Linked DNA regions of Coturnix japonica. The protein of the gene in region 1 purifies or fractionates together with the protein of each later gene. This does not show direct contact. Links are inferred from orthologs where the notes say so. Each region holds a gene or a part of one and is shown in the gene's direction. Other genes may lie near its edges. The genes, in order: NEPRO, RPP25L and RPP30.

Region 1 (6,401 bases):
CAAGGAAGAAATGCAACTCCACAGCCCTCATTTTCCTATTGCTGCTGCCCCACAGGGCTGAGCACATCTCTCAGGATGAGAAGGGCTCAAAAAGTAAATGACTGCTCTTCAAGTATCCTAGGACACTCCCCAGTGAGCTATGTTAAGCTTTTAAACTACCTTATCTAGCACCTCTAAATGATGTAATCAGGACAAAAAGCCTACACATTATTCCACAGTAGCAGCACTGGTGCACCCTGCTTGCTTACCAGTCCCATAGTCTTACTGGAGCTCACTCCTAACATTTTATTTCATTTTTCAGATTGCAGGGGACAGTCACACCCACAGTACCCAGTAAATACAAATGCCTTGTCAGTTTAAGGCAGCTAGACGCCTACACCTCCCACACCAGATTTCTACACAGCAGGATTATATCTGTGCATATACAAAAGCAAAGATACAGGCTTACCTTCTCCTCTGACTGCTGAATACTGCCAGCATCTGAAAGGGAAACAAGAAGAGGTAGGGCAGGATGATAACTGCACTGCAAGATACCCTTTGTTTACTGTGACCATTAGCCCCAATTTAAGTACTACTGGTTAGTTCCTTTTCTTTGTTAGTACATATGTAACTACAAGGAAGGCAATGGATCTTTGTCTTCATTCTTTACTACCCACTCTTGTCCCTGCACTCAGCCTAGCAATGAACTCCACAGCAGTGCAAGTGCATAAGACAAAGCTTGTTGCTGTTTGCTAGCTACACAGAACAATAAATAATAATAATGGAGAACTAACAGTCACAGATTTGGCTTGAGAGTTAATACAATGGTGGAATAACAGATTAGAAGATGAACAGAGCAGGACACAAAATGAAACCTCAAATTATTTGTTTCAAATAACAGAAGCTGCAGTAAATGAATCCCAGCTATTCCCTAGAAGTAAATGACACACTAAAGCATCAACAGAAAGATTGGCAGGCATATCTGCATTACCTCTTATATAAAGACCTTTAGAATAAAGCACAGACAGAAGAACAGCTTATACAGTGAGAACAACCTGAAAGTACAGAGAAGAAGGGGAAAATTAAAAGCTTTTCTCCACTTTGTCCCTAAATTTCAACCAATCACAGAAGCAACCCGTGGCACCCACAGCTACTTTCACTCTTACCAGACTTATGATACACCCGGAAGGAAACAGTGCCATCAGCATGAATAAAGATGCTCCCCGGACCTTTTATGAATACAGAATGGAGTGATGGGTACCGCCCTTGGGCTAATTCCTTCATCCTGAAGCAACACCAAAAGCAAATAGCCCAGGCTTGTTCTTCGCTTATAGGGTGCTCAAAGCACCTCAGAATCTCAGCTAGAGAAATCTTTGCAGCATTCTGCTCACAGCATGGAGACTCCGTGTTCATTTTCACAACTCTCTGCTACACTAGGAAGCTTAACAGCCTCGTTCCCAGAACAAGAGAATGCTCAGGTGGCAGCCTTTTATCAGTTATGACCCAAGGAGGGAACAAACCCTCACGCTGCTCCACACAGGTGTGAATGCTAATGCCAATTATGCTCTAGCTTTTTAAAGGGACACCACTTTAATTTGCATTGGCACAAACCTCTTTGAGGGAAAAACAGGAAGCATGTAACACACTGGATTCTAAAATAACGAGGTGGGGCAAAAGTTCTTCTCAGCTTAATGTGGTTGTCTCTAGCAAATACACTAATGGCAATACTAGTAGGTGCAGGTGAGAGAACATTCATCTTTGGCTAAAGTATGAGGAAACAGAGATAGGACAAGGGGGTTTTAAACTGAGACAGGGGAGTTTTAGGTTAGATATTAGGAGGAAGTTTTTCACACAGAGGGTGGTGACGCACTGGAACAGGTTGCCCAAGGAGGCTGTGGATGCCTCATCCCTGGAGGCATTCAAGGCCAGGCTGGATGTGGCTCTGGGCAGCCTGGTCTGCTGGTTGGTGACCCTGCACAGTGCAGGGGGTTGGAACTTTGCCGCAAGCCCTTAGCTTGGTGCATCGCCTCCCTCATCCGCGGATCCCAGCATCCAGAACAGCACTGCTCGATGCGCTCTGTGAACGCCGTGTGTGACTGAGTGCAGGCCGCACCCCCGCCTGCACGTCCCGCCCCGCACAGCACAAGATGGCGGCGCCCGAAGCTGCGTGGAACCGTGTGGACGTGCCGTGGCCCTCCAGCAGCAGCGCGGTGGCAGTGGACGCGCAGCACCCCGCAGGTCCCCGGCTGGGCTGCCGGGCCCCACGGCCGGGATGGGGCGGGGAGGAACCGGGAGGGGGCACCGGAGCCATGGGGTCCGCAGGGATGGGGAAGCGGAGTCGGGGGCGATGGGCTCGCGTGGGTCGCTGAGTGCCATCCGTTCGCAGTGCGCTGCCTGCCGGCCCTGCGGCGCTGTTGTGTCGGCACCATGAAGCGGCTGTGCTGGCCGAGCCTGACCGCCGAGGGACGCGTCCTGCGGGCCCTGCTCTACGTGTTCCACAGCAGGCTGCTGCGGCACCGGCCGTACCTGGCCATGCAGCAGGTGAGCGGCGGGCAGCTGGGGTGGTTTGAAGGCCTTGGGACAGCGTGAGAAGTGCAGCTTGATTTCAGCTTTTGGTGCCTCGTCGCTGTTTGATTCAGTTGGGAGAGGGGAGGTTTGGGTGTGGAAGAACTGCAGGCTGCTCTGTCGGATGTTGCCTCTCCTGAGGCAGAAGCTGAACTCTTGAGCAGCTCTGTAGTAAAGGGGTTGTCATAGTCTTCAAACAACTGTGCTGAAATAAAACAGCAGTCCTTCTTACCTTCTCCATTCATTTGTTCGTTATCGTTGGTGAAGGACTGGTTAAATCCCAAACACATTCCATACATCCACTGTTTAGATTTCAGAGACTTCTGTACTTTATCCCCATCATGTTGCATTACCACAGTCATAGAATATCATGAGTTGGAAGGGACCCGTAAGGATCATTGAGTCCAACTCCTGGCTCTATACAGGACCACCCAAAAATCAGACCTCATACCTCAGAGCATTGTCTAAATGCTTCTTGAAATCCATTTATATGCTGCAGGAGAAACCATACAGTGCCAATGAAAAGTGATCTGCTCCTGCTCTTAATTTCCTATTCACAGTAAGGTGATAAAGGGGTCTCTGTCACAGTGCAGATATGGCAACAAGACCAGAGCACTGTATCACACAAACCTGAAGTCTGCTATTAAACTGATAAGGGGAAGGTGTCATTTAAAGTAGTGACTGCTCTTAGACAAGGGCATTGGTGTCTCTCAGCTGAAGGACTTCCCTTTTTTTTTTTCTTCCTTTTCTTTTCCCTTCTTTTTTCCCCTAGGTGGAACAGTGCTTGAAGCGCCTGTGGAAAATGAACTTGGTGGGCTGCATTGAAACCCTGGCAGAACTGATTCCCAGGTCAGTGCCATGACCCTGTATGCACTACTACCCATTGGTCAGCCTACGGAACCGAAGGAGGAGATGCTAGACCACAGACATCTCCTTGCCCTTGTCTTGCCACAGGAAAACTAAAGCCCAGGACCAAGCAGAGTGCTTAGTTCCCAGCCAGCCTATGCTGGAAACAGTGGCCGTGAAGGTGCTGGGAGGCTGTAAGCTCATACTGCGTCTGCTAGACTGTTGCTGTAAAGCATTTCTGTATCCTTTTTTTTGCTATGTAAATATTCTTACTGTTCACCGGCAGCACTTCACGAGGCCAAAGGAATGTCTGTGCTGCTGGTGGAGTCCACATTGCAATTCATTTGTGCACCTTGAAGATTCTTTGCTAGTCAGACATTTTATTTTCAAGTTATTACGTAGGAACCTCAGGCTGCTGGCTGGCTGCTGTTCCAGCCTTGAGCAACCCAAAGTTTGGATACGCACCTCCCGAATTGTTCAGGATATCGCCTTGTGAATTGCCCGTAGTTGATGGGCTCAGCAAGTTTCATTACATACTGTTTATTCTTTAACCTTAACTGGTGTAATCTGCAGCTTGTCTGTTCAGAAGAATTCATACTTATGAACACCGTGGCTTTGGGCATGTTGAGCCGGCTATGGTTTGTATATTTGACAATTGTTTGCTGTCTGTTTGACATGCCTGTCAGGGAGAAAGCTTGTGATTAGAGCGTTCTTGTTGAGTGAGCTTTATTCAGCTAGGAGGAGAGGGGAAAAAGATCATACAGATCCCTCCATCCTTTTGGACTCTGTTCTAGCACCTGAAGAGTTGTGTGAGTGGAGAATGTAAAGAGAGGGGCCTCTACTGGGGGGAGAACAAAGCTCTTCCCTTTGAGTTCAAGGCAGTTGTTCAGTGAGTATAAGCACAAGTTCTTGCTAGGAGAGAATCTACACCTTTGTCTTCTCCCTTCAGGATTCAGTACAGGTGTTTACTGCAGAACCTCATCTCCCTGTATGGCGTACTGTCAACATCGCTTCATCTGGTGTCTGAGACCCAGCAGATGCCCTACATCAAGGGATTTACCTTCCCTGCTGATATCGGTAGCTTTCTTGGAGTTAACCTTTCTGCTGAGGTGAAGAAACAAAAAGCTAAAATGCTTACAGCAAGAAGACCTACCGGCTGGCTGAAGAAGCTCTTCCCAACCACATCAGAAGCCGTATCAAAGGCTGGGAAAAAGAGAGGTTTTGTGACCTATGCGAGAGCTGTGAAGAACCACAGCATTCCTGCGGATGACATTGGAGAACCCGTTCTGGGGACCATAGGCAGCAGAGGTAAAGCCTTTTTGCCACAGCAATACTGGTATCTGAGACCAGAGACTGGCTACCGCTTTGTCCAACTTTGTCCAACAGAGCAAATGCTTCTGCTTCCCACAGAGTGTGGTTCTGGTACAAACTCCCCTCCTGAAATGCTGAGTACAGGCATAAGCCTGCTGAGACACCGGGAGAGCTGAGAGCTCAGCAGGGCAAAGCATTAGTGTGTTTGTGTGAGGACTTAAAACTCTTTACTTAATGGGAACTCTTCTCTTTCTGTAGAGAACCACCTATGGTTTGATGTGAAGAGTTTGCTTAGACCATCCAGACCTCCAATACAAGGGGTTTGTATACCACAGTTTTACACAAGATTGCTTTTATGTTGCTGTGAAGAGCCTAACACTTGAAATGTGTTACCTATATGATGGAAAATGTCCTCTTTCCTTGCCTTATGTTACCTGTCTAACAGGTCATTCTGTTATGCAAGCATTTGTTGGTATGTCAAGCGAAGTGACCAGAGAGGAAGTCAGAAGAAGTCAGTAGACAGGAATATAAATGCTCACTGTGTGTCTCTCCTTAAGAAATGCAAAACACAGTGCTTTGCTCCTCCCTGGCAGAGCAGCAGGCACCTCACCTTTTTAGAAAGCCAACTGTTTTTCTGCTTCTTTGTTTCAGGGTAGATGCCTGACATCAAAACCTTTTAATGAAACATCAGTGTCACTTTCCTCTTCTGTGGCAAAACTGCAGCGCACTGGGCCTCTCGTACAGATGTTTCAAACAGCTGCATCATTTGGTGAGCTGTCGGAGGCGCTCAGAAAAGCCATTCTGTGGTGCAAAGGCAACAAACTCAAATCAGAAGCTTACTTTCTGCGCAGCAAGTTGTTGAAGAGCAATCGGCTGCACCATGTGGAGGCACAAGGATGCAGGTATTCTGCTGAGCACAGGGGCTCTGGATCTGATAGTTTAACTTCACATGTTTTGCTACAATGTAGAGAAATGCTGTGGTCTGACCTATATATTTATTTTTGAGCTTGAGCACAATCACATCTTCAGGTCATTGGAATTGCTGATACAAGTATCTGTATAGCTTTGCTTGTGAGAGGATTTAAAGGGTTAATAAATGCATGAATATGTAATAAAAGGGGGGAATGAAAATGCAGCTTAGATTGTGTGCCTGCATAATGGTGTTAGATGATGTAAAGATGCTGTAGCATTTCCCGAGTGTGACAGAATGGCAGAGAATGCCCATATCTAGAGCTCTGAAAACACCATAGGTAATAGTAACAGCTGTAAAGTTCTCTCTTGTTCATCTTCCTTCCCTTAAGCTTGCAGAAGAAACTGCGCTGTGTCAAAATGACGCTCTGTAAATACCTCCTGTATGGCTCCCAGAACACGCGCTGGCCAAGGCAGTACCGTAGGGCATGGATCTTTGGAAGGAGGGCAGAATTCTCCAAGTGCTCAAAGAGAACTCTGAGGACTGTTCAGCAAAAACATTCGGAGCTTTCTGGGGACCATGTGAGCTGCATTTCACCCACTGTGAGGCCTTCGAGTCAGAAAGGATGTCCCATCATTCACACGGCCGCTGTCAAACAAAGTACAGCAGGGACTCCTAAGCAGCTGCTGTTAAAAGAAAGCCCCAGGTCTGTGCACGAAGATTCTGACAACGTGGATATTGACTCTATTTTTGCAGCAATGGGTGTCTGATTCTGGACTAGGAAGAAGAA
Region 2 (6,286 bases), on another chromosome or scaffold:
TAAAACAAAAAAAATGGGTTTCTGTGCTTTCAGCGGCTCCTGAACATGCAGCCAAAATACAGCGACTCTCTCAAATCCAGATACAACAACAGGTAATGTGAATGTTTGTGACAGTCTTGACTAGCCAGAAAAAGGAACCATTTGATAGTGGATGTACTGATGACATATTTATACCACATCTTTAAAACTGCAGCAAGAAAAAAAAAAAAGGAAAAAAAAGGAAAAAGTTTAAGAAGGGTTACTAACAATTGATTATGAGTTGGAAAAGCTTTTTACCTACCATAAGCCTGCTTAAAACAGAGGTCTCAATAAGCAGAAGTGTGTTTAACCAGCTGCTGTTCTGCTTTTCACCAGGTCACTGAAATGTTGCACGTCTATCTATATGGCTATCAGTGCTGCCACCTTGTCTCTTTCCTTCCCCATCTGAGGGAATGGGGTGTGTAGCCTGGGTTGCACTTCATGCCCCCTTTTTGTGTTTTGCTGTGAGTTTTCATTCTGAGTCAAGCAAAGCATGGATGCTGAGAAAAACCACACATCGGTCTAGCATGGATGCTCTTGCACCGTATGAGCATGAGTGTTTCTTCATAACCTTTCCTTCAACTATTGAAACTCGTTCAGGCACAGTGAGTGGTCATGGCCAGGGCCTGAGTTTTAATCTTGGTACTGGCCTTGGACAATTCCTGACTTGCCTGGAATTACAGATGTCCTTTAAGTTATTTATTGCTTATTCACCAAGGCACTGTTTTTTGCAGGAGCAGTGTGAGCAGTTTACTGATGAAGTCAAGATGCTCTTGGAAAACTACAACAAGACAGTATCCTTTTAGCTGGTGCCTTGGATTGAACTGCCCACCTGTCTCTTGGGCCACCTCACCCTGTCAGAGGTAGCTGGAAGCAGGCAATCCCCAGCCTTAGGTTTAATGGCCGGTACCTTTTCTGGTGTAGTGATGTTTGTGTTCCTGTTATTATACTTACCTCAGGAGTGAAGTCCTGTTACAGTGCCGAGGGACAGAACTATCCATCCGAGACAGGAAGGGCAGGGTGTCGTCTGTGAGTCAGAGCTTTTGTGATGGATCTGCTTACAGTGTGGCTTAGCACAAAGGAGCTGGCATGTCAGTTGAATGTGCCTGTGACCTGCCAGAGCCTTGCAGTTCATCTCATACCAGTGCTGAAACACATCCTGAACTATAGTGGGTGGGGGAGTTATGTTCTTTTCTGAAGCAAGACCTTTAATTTGCAGCACTATGCAGTGCTTAGAAGTGGTGTGTAGTTGGTATAAGTCTGTGTAGGCTGTGTAGACACAGTTTTATTCACCCTTTTCTCCTCCAAGGAATTGGTTTTGGATCAGCACTGTCAGGCTGATGGGTGCTCCAGCTATTCTCTAACCTTTATTTCCTCCTAGAAGTTTTTGCTTCTCTTTCCTTAAGAGGAACAACCAGACTCTGCTTCTCTCCAAGCAGTTTGTCCAGTGGAATGAAATACTAACACAGCTGGAAGCAGCCAGGGAAGTGAAACCTGCAGCAGAGTGATGGCAGAGCAGGGAGGGCGAAGACCAAAGTCCTAGGATCCTGTTGGCCTTGCATTATTCAGAAGAGACCACAGCAGCTGCTTGCATCCTCTTGCCTCAGTATCTTTATACTTAGTGTGAGTATGCTGCAAATGGTGTCACAGACTCCTGGGGGCACCCTGGCTTTGTGGCCCTTAATCAAAGCAGCACCATCAATATGCCACTGTTTGCATATAGTTTTCTCTTAATATGCCACTGTTATTAATATGTTATCTTTTATTTTAATGTTTTCAAGCTAGTAACGTACTTTTAAAGTCCCTTGTTGCTCTTATCGTGGATCACAGTAAAGCCCTAATGCACTGGTCTGGCTTGTCTTTTCCTCCCGTGAATGCATCAGTGGCACAGAATGCCTGGTTAAGCTCAGGAGGGCAGATCCGCGTGCTGCCAACAGCCCATGGCTGATGTGTCATAAGGAAACGTTACTCCTGGCATGAAGTAGAAGCAGTGATCTGTGTGTCCCTTCTTGGGGCGGTTCCTGGTGCCCTGTGGGAATGGGAACTTGGAGACTGGGGGAAGCAAGTGACCCTGCCCTACGTCGTGCCTTTGCTGATCAGAATGGCAGCAGCGAGTCAGAGCCGCAGCCGGTCCTTTCTTATTCAGAAAGAGTTATTTGCTGCCCCCTGCCTGTAGTGCCTGGGCTGTGCAATTTATCCAGGTACAGAACAGAATTACTGAGTTGTGAACATGTCTTTAGTGAAGCCCAGAGCCCAGCTGTGCGCTGGGAGATGCGGGCCCACCCCGCCCTCACAGCCCGCCCAGGCCCGGCGCCATCACTCCGCCACTCCGCCTCCCTCCCCGCGCATGCGCACGCCTGGCGTCGGCCGCCATTTTGCGTCGAGTGTCGCCGTGCCGGCAGGTGAGCGTGCTTTCCGTGTGTCCCCCATCCCGCCCCGCAGCCCGTCCGCCTCCCGCACCCGCAGAGCCGCCCGGACAGCGGTTCCCGTCACCCCGGACCCGGATGGTGGGGCTGGGCCGCCTCCCCTTGGCGGAGCTCTCCGCCCGAGGCCTTCACCGTGCCTGTGGGGGGAGCCGTGTGACTCTGTGGGCCTGGGGGTGGGGGTTGAGCGTGAGCCCGTTTACCTGAGTTCTTTCATTTATTCTTTGCTTTTTCTAAGGATTCCGCCAGCTGAACCAGCGCTGCTCCTTCCAGTTTCGACCCCTGTGGCAGCATTCATGTTGCCCGCCGGTGTCTGAGCTGCCGCTGCTGGAAATGACTGCTGTGCTTTGCACTGCTGCACATCGGGGTGTTCTGGTGGATAGTTTGTATCTGCCCTGTCCGGCTGACAGAATCAGACAGTGCCCTTTGGAGCAAAGACTGCACGTAATTGGAGCGAGAAGCCCTTTGTGCAGCCTTTAGAAGTTTCTCAGGTACAGGTGTGTGGAGCTGCTGAGACTTTTCTGGTGGCCAGAGGCTGAAATGATGCCAATGGCAGCCTCAGTTTTGAGCCCTGCTGTGCTGGCACAGGTTGCTGGAAGCCACAGTTGCAGCTGCGCTTCTCGCTGAGTGGGAAAGCCCACAGTGGCTGGTTTGTATTATCACTAATTGCAGGTATTCATGGGTTGCTTTTCCTTTTCAGTGCAGCAGAATGGAAAACTATAAGAAGACCAAAATCGTGGAGAAGCCTTGTCCTCTTCCTTTCACTGACCTGCCTCCTGATATCATTGAAATGAAAGTGAAAGATGGAAGTAAAATAAGAAATCTGATGGGCTACGCCATTGGCAAGATGGAACTGGACTCAGTGAGGCAGATCCTTTTCACTGGCTCAGGCAAGGCTGTCAGCAAAACCATCACGTGTGTGGAGATCATGAAAAGAAGGCTCAAAGAACTCCACCAGATCACCAAAGTGCTTTTCAAACAGATCGAGGAGATCTGGGAACCCATCGTGCCTGAGGCAGGTCTGGATTCCTTGACAGTGAAGAGAAACATTCCTGCCATATGTGTCCTGCTGAGCAAAGACGCCCTTGATCCCCAGGAGCCTGGATATCAGGCTCCGGGCTCTTTTGACGCCTTCTGGATTGAGACACTTAAAGCAGAGTCCCAGGCCCAAATGAAGAGGAAGCAGGGTGGAGGAAGGGGAACTGGCAGCATGGGAAAGCACCCTCGTGCCAGTGGAGGGCTCGGGGAGTCCTGAGTGAAGTCCTGAGACAGAGACACTTGTGGGTGTAGCTTGGGGATGTTACAAAAACCAGCCAGCTGCTCTGGCTGGAAAGCTGCTGCTGAACACAGGCTTCCAGATCTGTTAGGGGGGTAGACAGGAGAACTCACTGTTCCAAAATTGACAAAATTGTAGCTGTCTAAATTGTGTTTTGGCAAGTTTCCTTGTCAGATGGTGCCAGGCTTCACTCCATAGCCTGTGGCTCAGGGATGAGATGGAAATATGGGATTTACCTTTTTGGGCAAGGATTGCTGGCATCCAGTTAGTGAGCCCAAAGAGGCATTCCAGGTATGGCAGTGCTTTGCATGGGCAGGAGATGAGGCAGCTCCTAGAGGGGAGATGTGTCCCAGGTTGGGCTGCCAGCCCATCATTGCAGCTCCTCTGTGTGGATGGCACAGCTCAGGGCTGGGTTGGACACTTTACCTGTGCCTGAGAAGCCATTTTCTGCTCAAGCCTTCCAGTGTTCTGATGGTTTAGATGTGGGACTGCAGGGGTGCAGCTCACTGTGTGCCAATCATCCCTTTCTGTCCTCTCACTTCCCCTCTGGTGCTGATGGTTACACCTCTGGCAGGAGTCAACTAACGTCATCACCATCCTGAAACCACGTAGGCAGGGGCAAATGCACAGGGGTGGTAATGGTGAGCTCCAAAGGATGCTTGTTTCCCCTTTCTACTCCTTTGTAATGCATAGGAATGGGTTTAAAATAAAGTTTGTAAGTGACAAAAGATGTGTGATGTGTTCCACGTTGCACTGGGGTCACCCTCAGCATTACTGACGGGCTGCAGCTGCAGGCGTTTTTCTCCTGTAGGTGGGCCCTGATGAAGGTTTTCCTTTGCCATTCACCTCTTCTAGCAATGGGAAAGCCAAGGGTTTATTTTTTCTGTCTGGAAGAGCAGATTTGAGAATACTTGGTGTGAATGCCACTGGATGGAGCAGGGGATGGAGCATCACGTCGTGTGCCACAGCTCTGCTCCTGGATCAGCTGTGGGAGGTGATGCTGGGCAGGAAGGAGCCGCAGGGCCATGGCCATACACAGCGCTGCTGTGCCAGCGTGGACTCTATGGGCTATGGAGCATCTCCCCAAGCGAAGCCCACCAGGAGCAGCCAGCAGAGCCCGCAGCTGTGTGTGCTGCTGGCAGCCACGAGGGGTCCCCAGCTGCCCGGCGGATTTGCATCGTACCCGCTGCCGTGCCGAGCTGCCCGGTGCAGGACGGAGCTGTGCCGGGCTCGTTCCTCGGTGCAGCCGCTCGGACCGTCCCTGACGCTTTGCACTGCACGGGGCCGCGCTGGTCACTCGTGGGCGGACAGCGCAGCCCCACGTCTGCGGCCGGTGGCGCAGAGGTGCCTTGGAAGCACGTGTAGGTGCCGGGACGGTTGTTGTGTTTTGTGCCGTGTCGCTCAGACATCGCAGCCGCTGCTCCATCCCCGCCCGGTGCAGCGCACGCACCACGCGGCCTGTGCGCGGCGCGGCGGGGCGGGGCCGCAGCCGGCGGTTGTGGGCGGGGTGTGTGCGGGGCCCGGGCCGCCCCTCGGAGCGGGGGGAGGAGCGAGCCGGGCTGCGGGACACGGCGCCGCTCCGCGCCGGGACAGCGAGCAGCGGACGCGGCTCCGAGCGGCGGATCCCGGGGCGCGGCGGCAGCGGGTCAGTGCGGGGCCGGGACGGGACTTGTTGCGGTTGCGGGATGGGGAGGGAGGTCGGCGTCTCCTTCCCGCGGGTCCGTCGGGGCTGCGATGTGCGAAGGAGCCGGCGCTGCCCGCCGCGTGCTGTGCCGTGCTGTGCCGTGCCGTGCCGCGCCGCGCCGTGCTGTGCCGTGCTGCGCCGTGCTGTGCTGTGCTGTGCCGTGCTGTGCTGTGCCGTGCCGTGCCGTGCCGTGCCGTGCCGTGCCGTGCCGTGCCGTGCCGTGCCGTGCCGTGCCGCGCCGTGCCGTGCCGCGCCGTGCCGTGCCGTGCCGTGCCGCGCCGTGCCGTGCCGTGCCGCGCCGTGCCGTGCCGCGCCGTGCCGCGCCGTGCCGTGCCGTCGTGCCGCCGGTAACGCTCCGCTCTGCTCCCAGGTGCCCGGCCGAGCAGACCCCGCGCTGCCGCAGCGCCGCCCGACGAGCCGCCCCGACGCTCCCGCGCCGCCGAGGCCGCAGCGGCGCCGTCCGGGCCGTTCCGGGGTGACGCCGTCCCGCCGCTCGCCGCCGGCACCGCCGCCGTGCGCTCCGTGCCCCCCAATGCCATCGGGCGGAGGCCGCGTCCCGAGCCGGGGGCTCCGCTTCGTCCCGCGGGGCGGCGGCGATGGGGGCGGCTCTGTCCACCGGAGCGGTCGTTGCCATCTCTTTTAACTGCATCATCGCTCTGCTCATCCTCATCCTCTTCCACATCCTCTGCAAGGCCTGCAGGACCCCGTCGTGCCCCAAGAAGAGCCCGGCGTCCGACGCGGACGAGGCGAGGAACGAGGAGAAGTACCTTCTGCAGCCCTGAGCGCGGCCATGGCAGCGGACGGGACGTGACACCGAGCGGAGCCCTGCGGCCCCGCGGTCCCGGTGCGTGGATGGAGACACGGCGGCTGGGGACGTGCGCCGTC
Region 3 (6,425 bases), on another chromosome or scaffold:
GTGCAAGCTAAATAAATGGGAAGTGATGTCTTCCCTTTTTTTGAACCAGCAAATATGAGCAGCAAGCTGTCAGCTGAAAAGAGAAAAAAACAATTACAATGAAATTTATTCTAGAAATTCTTGATCACTCTGAAAAACAGTTCTCAGCCTGTTTCAGCCTACAGCTTTATGAAGGAAACTGTGAAGGTTATGATTAAAGTGACCATTGAGATTCAAGCTACTGAGTTGCTGAGATAGGTGGTGCCAAATATCTTTAGCTCCCTAAAATGCTAAAGGCAGAACTGAAGCCAAAGAGACATATACACATATATATCTGACAGCTGCTACCCTGAGTTGCCCACTGGAGGTACATTAGAGGAATATCACTTCATAAGACCTGAAAAGGTCTTCCCTAAAATTTAAATGTGGCATGAAAAATGTTCCTCGAGGGTAGAAAAATTGGCCGCACTAGGAGGACTTCAGGACACGGGAGAAACAAAGCACACTCAAAGTCTGTGACTGACAGTGAGAACCACAGCTATGTTTTAAGTAGATCACTGGGTCTGGCCTAAACAAAAATGTCAACATCCAAGTGGTTGATGGGGGAAATAAGGTTGCACACTGGTCTGCGTAAGTAATTGATGATATGTGATGCTGGGAGGGCCATCACAGAAATAGGGTTCTGAAGGATGATCTGTTTAAGTACTCTCCATTTTAAGTGCCTCGAGAAAAGGTTTGTTTTGCTTGTCTGTTGCCTAAAAAAAAAAAAAAGCTGCTTAATCTTGTTTAATGTCTCTGAACATTAGTCCAAAAGAGATGTTCAGAAATAATTGATACATATTTATGGATTTCTTCTCACATTTATTCAGACAAATTAAATCAAGTTCCATCATACACTGTCAAAAAAACCAAACAAACAAAGAAAACAAAAAAAACACTTGAAATAATGCTTTGAGTTCTCCCATGTCCACACACTTCACAGAAAAGCCTTAAGAAGACCATTTGATTTGGGCTGTGTGTTCAGATATTTGGCAGAGAAGCAGCACTGGCTATTCCAATAGGAAACATGTTAAGGGCACAGATAGGCCAAAGCAGAATTTGCTGAAACATAGGAAACGTAGGAGGAAGGAACATCTTCCAGGGAGACCTGGATAGGCTTGAAAAATGGACCCACAAAAACCTAGTGAGGTTCAGCACAGCCAAATTCAAGGTGTTGTATTTGAGCTGGGGCAACCCCAGACATTCAGACTGGGAGAAAAACTCACTGAGAGCAGCCCTGCTGAGGAAGACTTGGAGACTTGATGGACAAAAAGTTGGATATGAGCCAGCAGTGTGCACTTGCAGCCCATAGAGCAACTGTATTCTGGGCTGCATCAACAGAGGGGTGGCAGCATGAAGAGGGAGGTGACTGTTTCACTCTGTACTGTCCTTGTGAGCCCCCACCTGGAGCACAGTGTCCAAGCCTGGGGCTCCCAGCACAGGAGTGATATGGAGCTGTTGTGATGGGTCACAAGGATGGCCACGAAGGTGCTCAGAGAGCTGGAGTACTTCCCTGGAGATAGGTTTGTTCAATCTGGGGAAGGCACCAGGGAGATCTCGTTGCAGCCTTTCTGTGTTTAAAGGGAGCTTATAAACTCTTCGGCCTCAGTGTGCCAAGGAGCAGTGCTGTGGGCAGGGACGTGCCTGGGAGCTGTGGGCATTGCTGGAGCAATTCTGCCTGGTTAAGGGTTTAGCATTCCAAATAACCCACTGAACCTCCAGGCTCAAGGAAGTGGAAGCAGAGGGCTTGTGAGGCCTCCCAATACCACCTTGATGATGTGAAGAAATCACAGCCTTGCTTGTTTTAGCAGCTGCTGTAACTGTCCCAAACAGCAACAAAAGTGGTCATTACCACCTGTATTTCACATATGTGCTGATTAGCAGCAATAAAATGGGTGGGTTTTTCAACAGTGCTACAGAGTCAAAGCATGTTTGATTTGTGGTCTCCTGGAATTGTTCATCTCTTTTGCATTTTAGGGAATATCTCTAGAGAAGCTGGGACTAATCAACCTAGGATTTTATTTCACATTTTTTAGTTAACGCAGGAAAACGATGGCCTTAACTAGGAACGGTTCCACCCCCCCTCGGGCCATACAGTAGCTGCGCTCGGTGGGAGGCGATCCGGCCGCTAAGAGGAGCAGAAGCGCATCTCCCCCTGCTGGGCAGCGCACACACCCCGAGCTCCCGACTGCTCCGCTCGCAGCACAGCCCCCCACGGACACGTTCAGGAGCGCATAAAAGCTCGCACGCTCCATCACCCAGAGCTCCGCCTGCTGGTCCAGAGCCCATCCCGCTCCTCGTAGCAGGACTACCAGCCCCAGGTTGCTCCGGGCCGCCGGGGGCGGTGCCGGCTGCGCTCACAGCCTTCGTTCCGCCCCGTGCTGCGCAGCATGGCCGGCTTCGCCGATCTGAACGTCCCGCAGGGCGCGGATAGGAAGGCCGTGCAGAGCGTGCTGGAGGCTGCGGCGAACCGTGAGTCGGGGCTGGGAGCGGGTGGATGTGTTGTTGAGGATGGGGTGGCTGTGCTGGAAGGCGGCGCTGGCTGAGGGCTGCAGCAGCGGCGTGAAGGATGGAGAAGCGGGGCTGGACGGGGCGGAAGCTCCATGCGCCGGTCCTGCCCTGCCCAGCGAGGGCACGGGGTCTGTGCTGTGCCTGAACAGCGCTGTTATTATCTCCGGTTACTCTCCAACCTCTGCAGAGAACTTGTTCCAGGGTTACTGATCTTCAGCACAGGCTTTATGGCTTTCTCTAGTCCTGTCCACCACGGCAGTCTTTCTGTTTGTATCACCCTTCAATCGTGGTCACATCTCCCCTCATAATGCATCTTCCAGTCCGCTGCTGCAAGGCGCAGCCTTCGTGTCGATGCAGAGCCGGGACCTGGCAGCCTGTGGCTTACCCCACTACCCCAGGCTCACAGCCACACCTCAGCCTGCCCTGCTGTACCCATTAGGTAACCGTGCATCTCTGTGCGTACCCCAGCACTGGCCGTGCACAGTCCCTTGTCCTTGTTACTGTCAGTCAGTGAGGATGTGTTGTAAAGGCTGGCTTGTGCTAAAAGAAAAAATTGTACTCTTAAGACACATCTTTGAGTTAACATTGAGCAAAATTCACTGTGAAAGGTAAATGTGCACATCGTTATTGATTTTGAGATATTTAAATAATGAGCATGTGACAGTTTTCTCCTTGTGTCTGTTTCCATTACTTGCTGATCAAAGCAGGCTCACAATGTGTTTTCTTTTTTAGTGGGATATTCTGCAGTTGCTCTTAATCACGTCATCGATTTTAAAGAAAAGAAACAGGTAATTTCAGTTCAGCTTCTTTGTTGGTGATGTGTTTGCTCTCGTAAATCTCTGTGCCACTCCTCTATCCTTTGTTTTTACGCACTCACCTAAATGAAGGCATTTGTATTTATATTTATAACAGAACTCTGATTTTATAAGCCTGTATTACTGCCCTGGAGTTAATTTTTACTATGGTCTGTGAATTGTCCTTAGGAAATATTTTGTTAGTATGTTAAGCTTATTTTTGGAGTTGGAACACAACTTCTGTGTACATTCTAAACATCCCTGTTGTATTTTGGATAACTTTGTTTTGTTTTCTTTTAAGGAAATAGCCAAGCCGGTGTCTCCATCAGAGCTGTTTCCATCTTTGCCTATTGTGCAGGTGTGTTTATTACGTTCCATCTATGTGTTGTTACACTGAGCTGCAATTTTTCCTTTCAGTTTATCCACTCCTCAGAGAAACACAGTGAGCCCTTCTTTCTGAAGGGCAGTTACAATATATATGTTTTATATTAGGGAAGCATAACTACAGACTTCCAGAAAATTATTATAGGCAAGAATTGGTGCAAGGCACAACTTTCTTTTTATAGTAGGCAGGGTGAAGGTTGCCACAAAGTTTGTCAGCTTTTAAAATCTTATATTATTTTTCCATCATAGGGGACATCTAAAAGACTTAAAGTCTTAACCCGGCTGACACTTGTTGTTTCTGATCCTTCCCACTGTAATCTCTTGGTAAGTACATTCAGTGTATCTGCTTGTTTGTTTGTTTGTTTTAATTTAATTTTCTCAACGAAAGAATGACACTTTGGGAGTTGTGTATTGGATTTAATGGATTTCATAGGATACTCAGTACTGATTTCTCAGACCAGATCTTTAGAATCTGAAGCATCATGACCCCTCACGCAAGTGTCTGTGAAACAGAACGTGATTGTGCTGATCGCTTATTAGTATGGGGTAGCAGTTCTGTTCCTTTATTCTTTTATTTGAATTCTGGACTTCCATGTGTACACTAGAATACCAGGAGGGAGACCAGTGTGTGTTTGTGGAGCTGTGTGCTTGAGACAAAAGGTATGTGAGTGGATGGGACAAGCCTCAAAATGACCTCAGAGAATTGCTCACAGTAGAGACCTACTATTTAATTAGATTATCGTCTTTGTTTTGGTGCTTGAAAATGGTGAGGAAATTTTCTCATTATTATTTTGGTTATAATCATTGTGTGTATGCTTGTCACCTGCCAGAAGTCAAGGTAGTAATTATTTCCTCCTTTTGTAGAGATCTACATCTGCAAATATAAGATTGTATGACATCATAGCTGTATTTCCAAAGACGGAGAAATTGTTCCATGTAAGTACTATCTGTGAGTTGTCATAGAGCTGGCACTAACCATCAGTGTCTTGGAGTGCTTTGAGTGCATGCTTTGTTTTGTTTTCCATTCTATATAGCCATGTCATGGGGCTAATTAAACAATGTAGGTTCTCTGGTCAGCAGCAGGCAGACTAAAAGATTGGGAGAAATCCTAGAAGGGTAAAGGGCCTTGATGTGATCAGTTGGTCCTAAACGTCTGCAAGTGGTCTGACTGACTTGCTTTCAAATGCTCAGCTCAACTTCTTGTCAAAATGCTTTCATTGCAAAATGGGGGGAGAAAAAGTGGCACATCTGACCATCTCAGGAAGCTCCTGAGTCGTATCATTAAGAGTGAATTGGAAGAGTTGGTAGAGGTGATCTGTCTGTATTGCCCTTGGCAGACAGCAAGCTGATGTGCAATTTGAAGAATGCACTGTGTCACGGAGTTATCTAGATCAATCTATGTCTGTGATGGGGGGCAGTAGGCCTGTGGGCTCTCCCTCCAGCCCCAAGAATGGAAAGAAAAAAGGGAAAGGGGTAGGGAGATGGGAGTTGGGCTCAAGGAGATAAACAGAGCAGCAGCAACAATCTAAGGAGGAGAACTTATTTTACTAATTATGATATCGGAATGCAACATAACACAATATAGTATGATCTAATTGAAATTGGGGCTAATAAATCAAGTGAAATAAGAGAGAGAGGTTTCTGAAGACCAAGAAGCCTACTTTAAAATTGAAGGTGCCACAACTTGGAAGCACACCCACACTTACTGCCAGGCAGTGTGAGAGAGAGCCAGTGTCACTTCTGTGATGTGTTTTCCTCTCTGACCGTGAGGTACTCTGGGACATGTAATTCTTCTCTGTGTTCCACATGATGTTATGATGTGGAATACCGATAGCAAAAATTACAAAACCATGACACACTGGGACACCAACTGCAAATGTGAGTCTCTTTGGAGGAATGCCGGAATTTACTTTCAAAGAGAGGTTGTCGAGAAGCTGACATTGTTTTTCAGTTAGGTTAAAGCTACTTTCTGGTGCTGCTCAATACCTATCTTTGGAACATTAAAACTATATTTTTCTGATTTATTTTTTTTTTAAATTATTTCCTGTCCTTTTTGAAAACTTGTGAAGAGGCTGTAAAAGGAGGTGAACTTGAAAGGAGAAGAACTGAAGTATTTATTGTAACAGTGACAACTTAATGAAGCTCATTTCCAACTGATTTTTTTTTTTCTTCCCTTGCCAGACTCTGAACTCCTGAGGGTGTGCAAGAGTCAAAAGTCTTCTAAAAGGCTTTCTACTTCTCTCCATAATTTTTTTTTTTTTTGGGGGGGGAGGGGGGTGCTCTGTTAACAGCATAAAATTATTGTGATTTATTCCAGATGCATGCCAGAGTCCTGAGGCAATCGGCTGGTGTAGTCGCCAAGCCACTCCACTCTAAGATATTTGAAAAGTCGTGGCAGTCAGATGAAGTCCCAGTTGATTGGAATAAGGCAGTGGCACAGACATTTTTAAGGAGGGTAGAAGGGATGACCCAGGGAACTACTGACCTGTCAGCCTCACCTCTGTGCTGGGAAGGTCATGCAGCAGATCCTCCTGGTATCTGTGGTAAGGCACGTACAAGAGAGGGAGGTGATATGGGGTAACCAGCATGGGTTCATGAAGGGCAGGTCCTGCCTGTTTTTTATGATGGTATAACTGCTTCAGTGAACAAGGGAAGAACCACTGCTGTCACCTGTCTGGACTTCAGTAAGGCCTAGATGCCATCTAGAGAGACCTAGAC

The links.
Region 2: the proteins of NEPRO (region 1) and RPP25L purify together in Homo sapiens (affinity purification with mass spectrometry; 3 studies listed by BioGRID and IntAct, with this or other methods). This does not show direct contact. The link is inferred for Coturnix japonica from reciprocal best matches to the Homo sapiens genes RMP64 and RPP25L.
Region 3: the proteins of NEPRO (region 1) and RPP30 purify together in Homo sapiens (affinity purification with mass spectrometry; 3 studies listed by BioGRID and IntAct, counting the BioPlex papers as one, with this or other methods). This does not show direct contact. The link is inferred for Coturnix japonica from reciprocal best matches to the Homo sapiens genes RMP64 and RPP30.

Annotation. Positions count from the first base shown.
Region 1 is NC_029516.1:74,702,260-74,708,660, forward strand, and holds the start of NEPRO (nucleolus and neural progenitor protein), read left to right. Parts: upstream 1-2,063; 5' UTR 2,064-2,126; coding exon 2,127-2,217; intron 2,218-2,365; coding exon 2,366-2,520; intron 2,521-3,316; coding exon 3,317-3,393; intron 3,394-3,498; coding exon 3,499-3,649; intron 3,650-3,963; coding exon 3,964-4,028; intron 4,029-4,339; coding exon 4,340-4,698; intron 4,699-4,959; coding exon 4,960-5,021; intron 5,022-5,352; coding exon 5,353-5,603; intron 5,604-6,002; coding exon 6,003-6,381; 3' UTR 6,382-6,401. Other genes in the region: protein spire homolog 1-like, read right to left, coding at 449-480, 1,146-1,392. UniProt on the Homo sapiens protein: May play a role in cortex development as part of the Notch signaling pathway. Downstream of Notch may repress the expression of proneural genes and inhibit neuronal differentiation thereby maintaining neural progenitors.
Region 2 is NC_029547.1:7,292,941-7,299,226, reverse strand, and holds RPP25L (ribonuclease P protein subunit p25-like protein), read left to right. Parts: upstream 1-1,985; 5' UTR 1,986-2,420; intron 2,421-2,679; exon of another isoform or gene 2,680-2,938; intron 2,939-3,141; 5' UTR 3,142-3,150; coding exon 3,151-3,696; 3' UTR 3,697-4,445; downstream 4,446-6,286. Other genes in the region: DCTN3 (dynactin subunit 3), read left to right, coding at 34-92, 753-812, 1,437-1,526; ENHO (adropin), read left to right, coding at 5,998-6,183. UniProt on the Homo sapiens protein: May be a component of ribonuclease P or MRP.
Region 3 is NC_029521.1:17,046,789-17,053,213, forward strand, and holds the start of RPP30 (ribonuclease P protein subunit p30), read left to right. Parts: upstream 1-2,122; 5' UTR 2,123-2,408; coding exon 2,409-2,490; intron 2,491-3,261; coding exon 3,262-3,317; intron 3,318-3,624; coding exon 3,625-3,681; intron 3,682-3,956; coding exon 3,957-4,031; intron 4,032-4,571; coding exon 4,572-4,643; intron 4,644-6,425. UniProt on the Homo sapiens protein: Component of ribonuclease P, a ribonucleoprotein complex that generates mature tRNA molecules by cleaving their 5'-ends. Also a component of the MRP ribonuclease complex, which cleaves pre-rRNA sequences.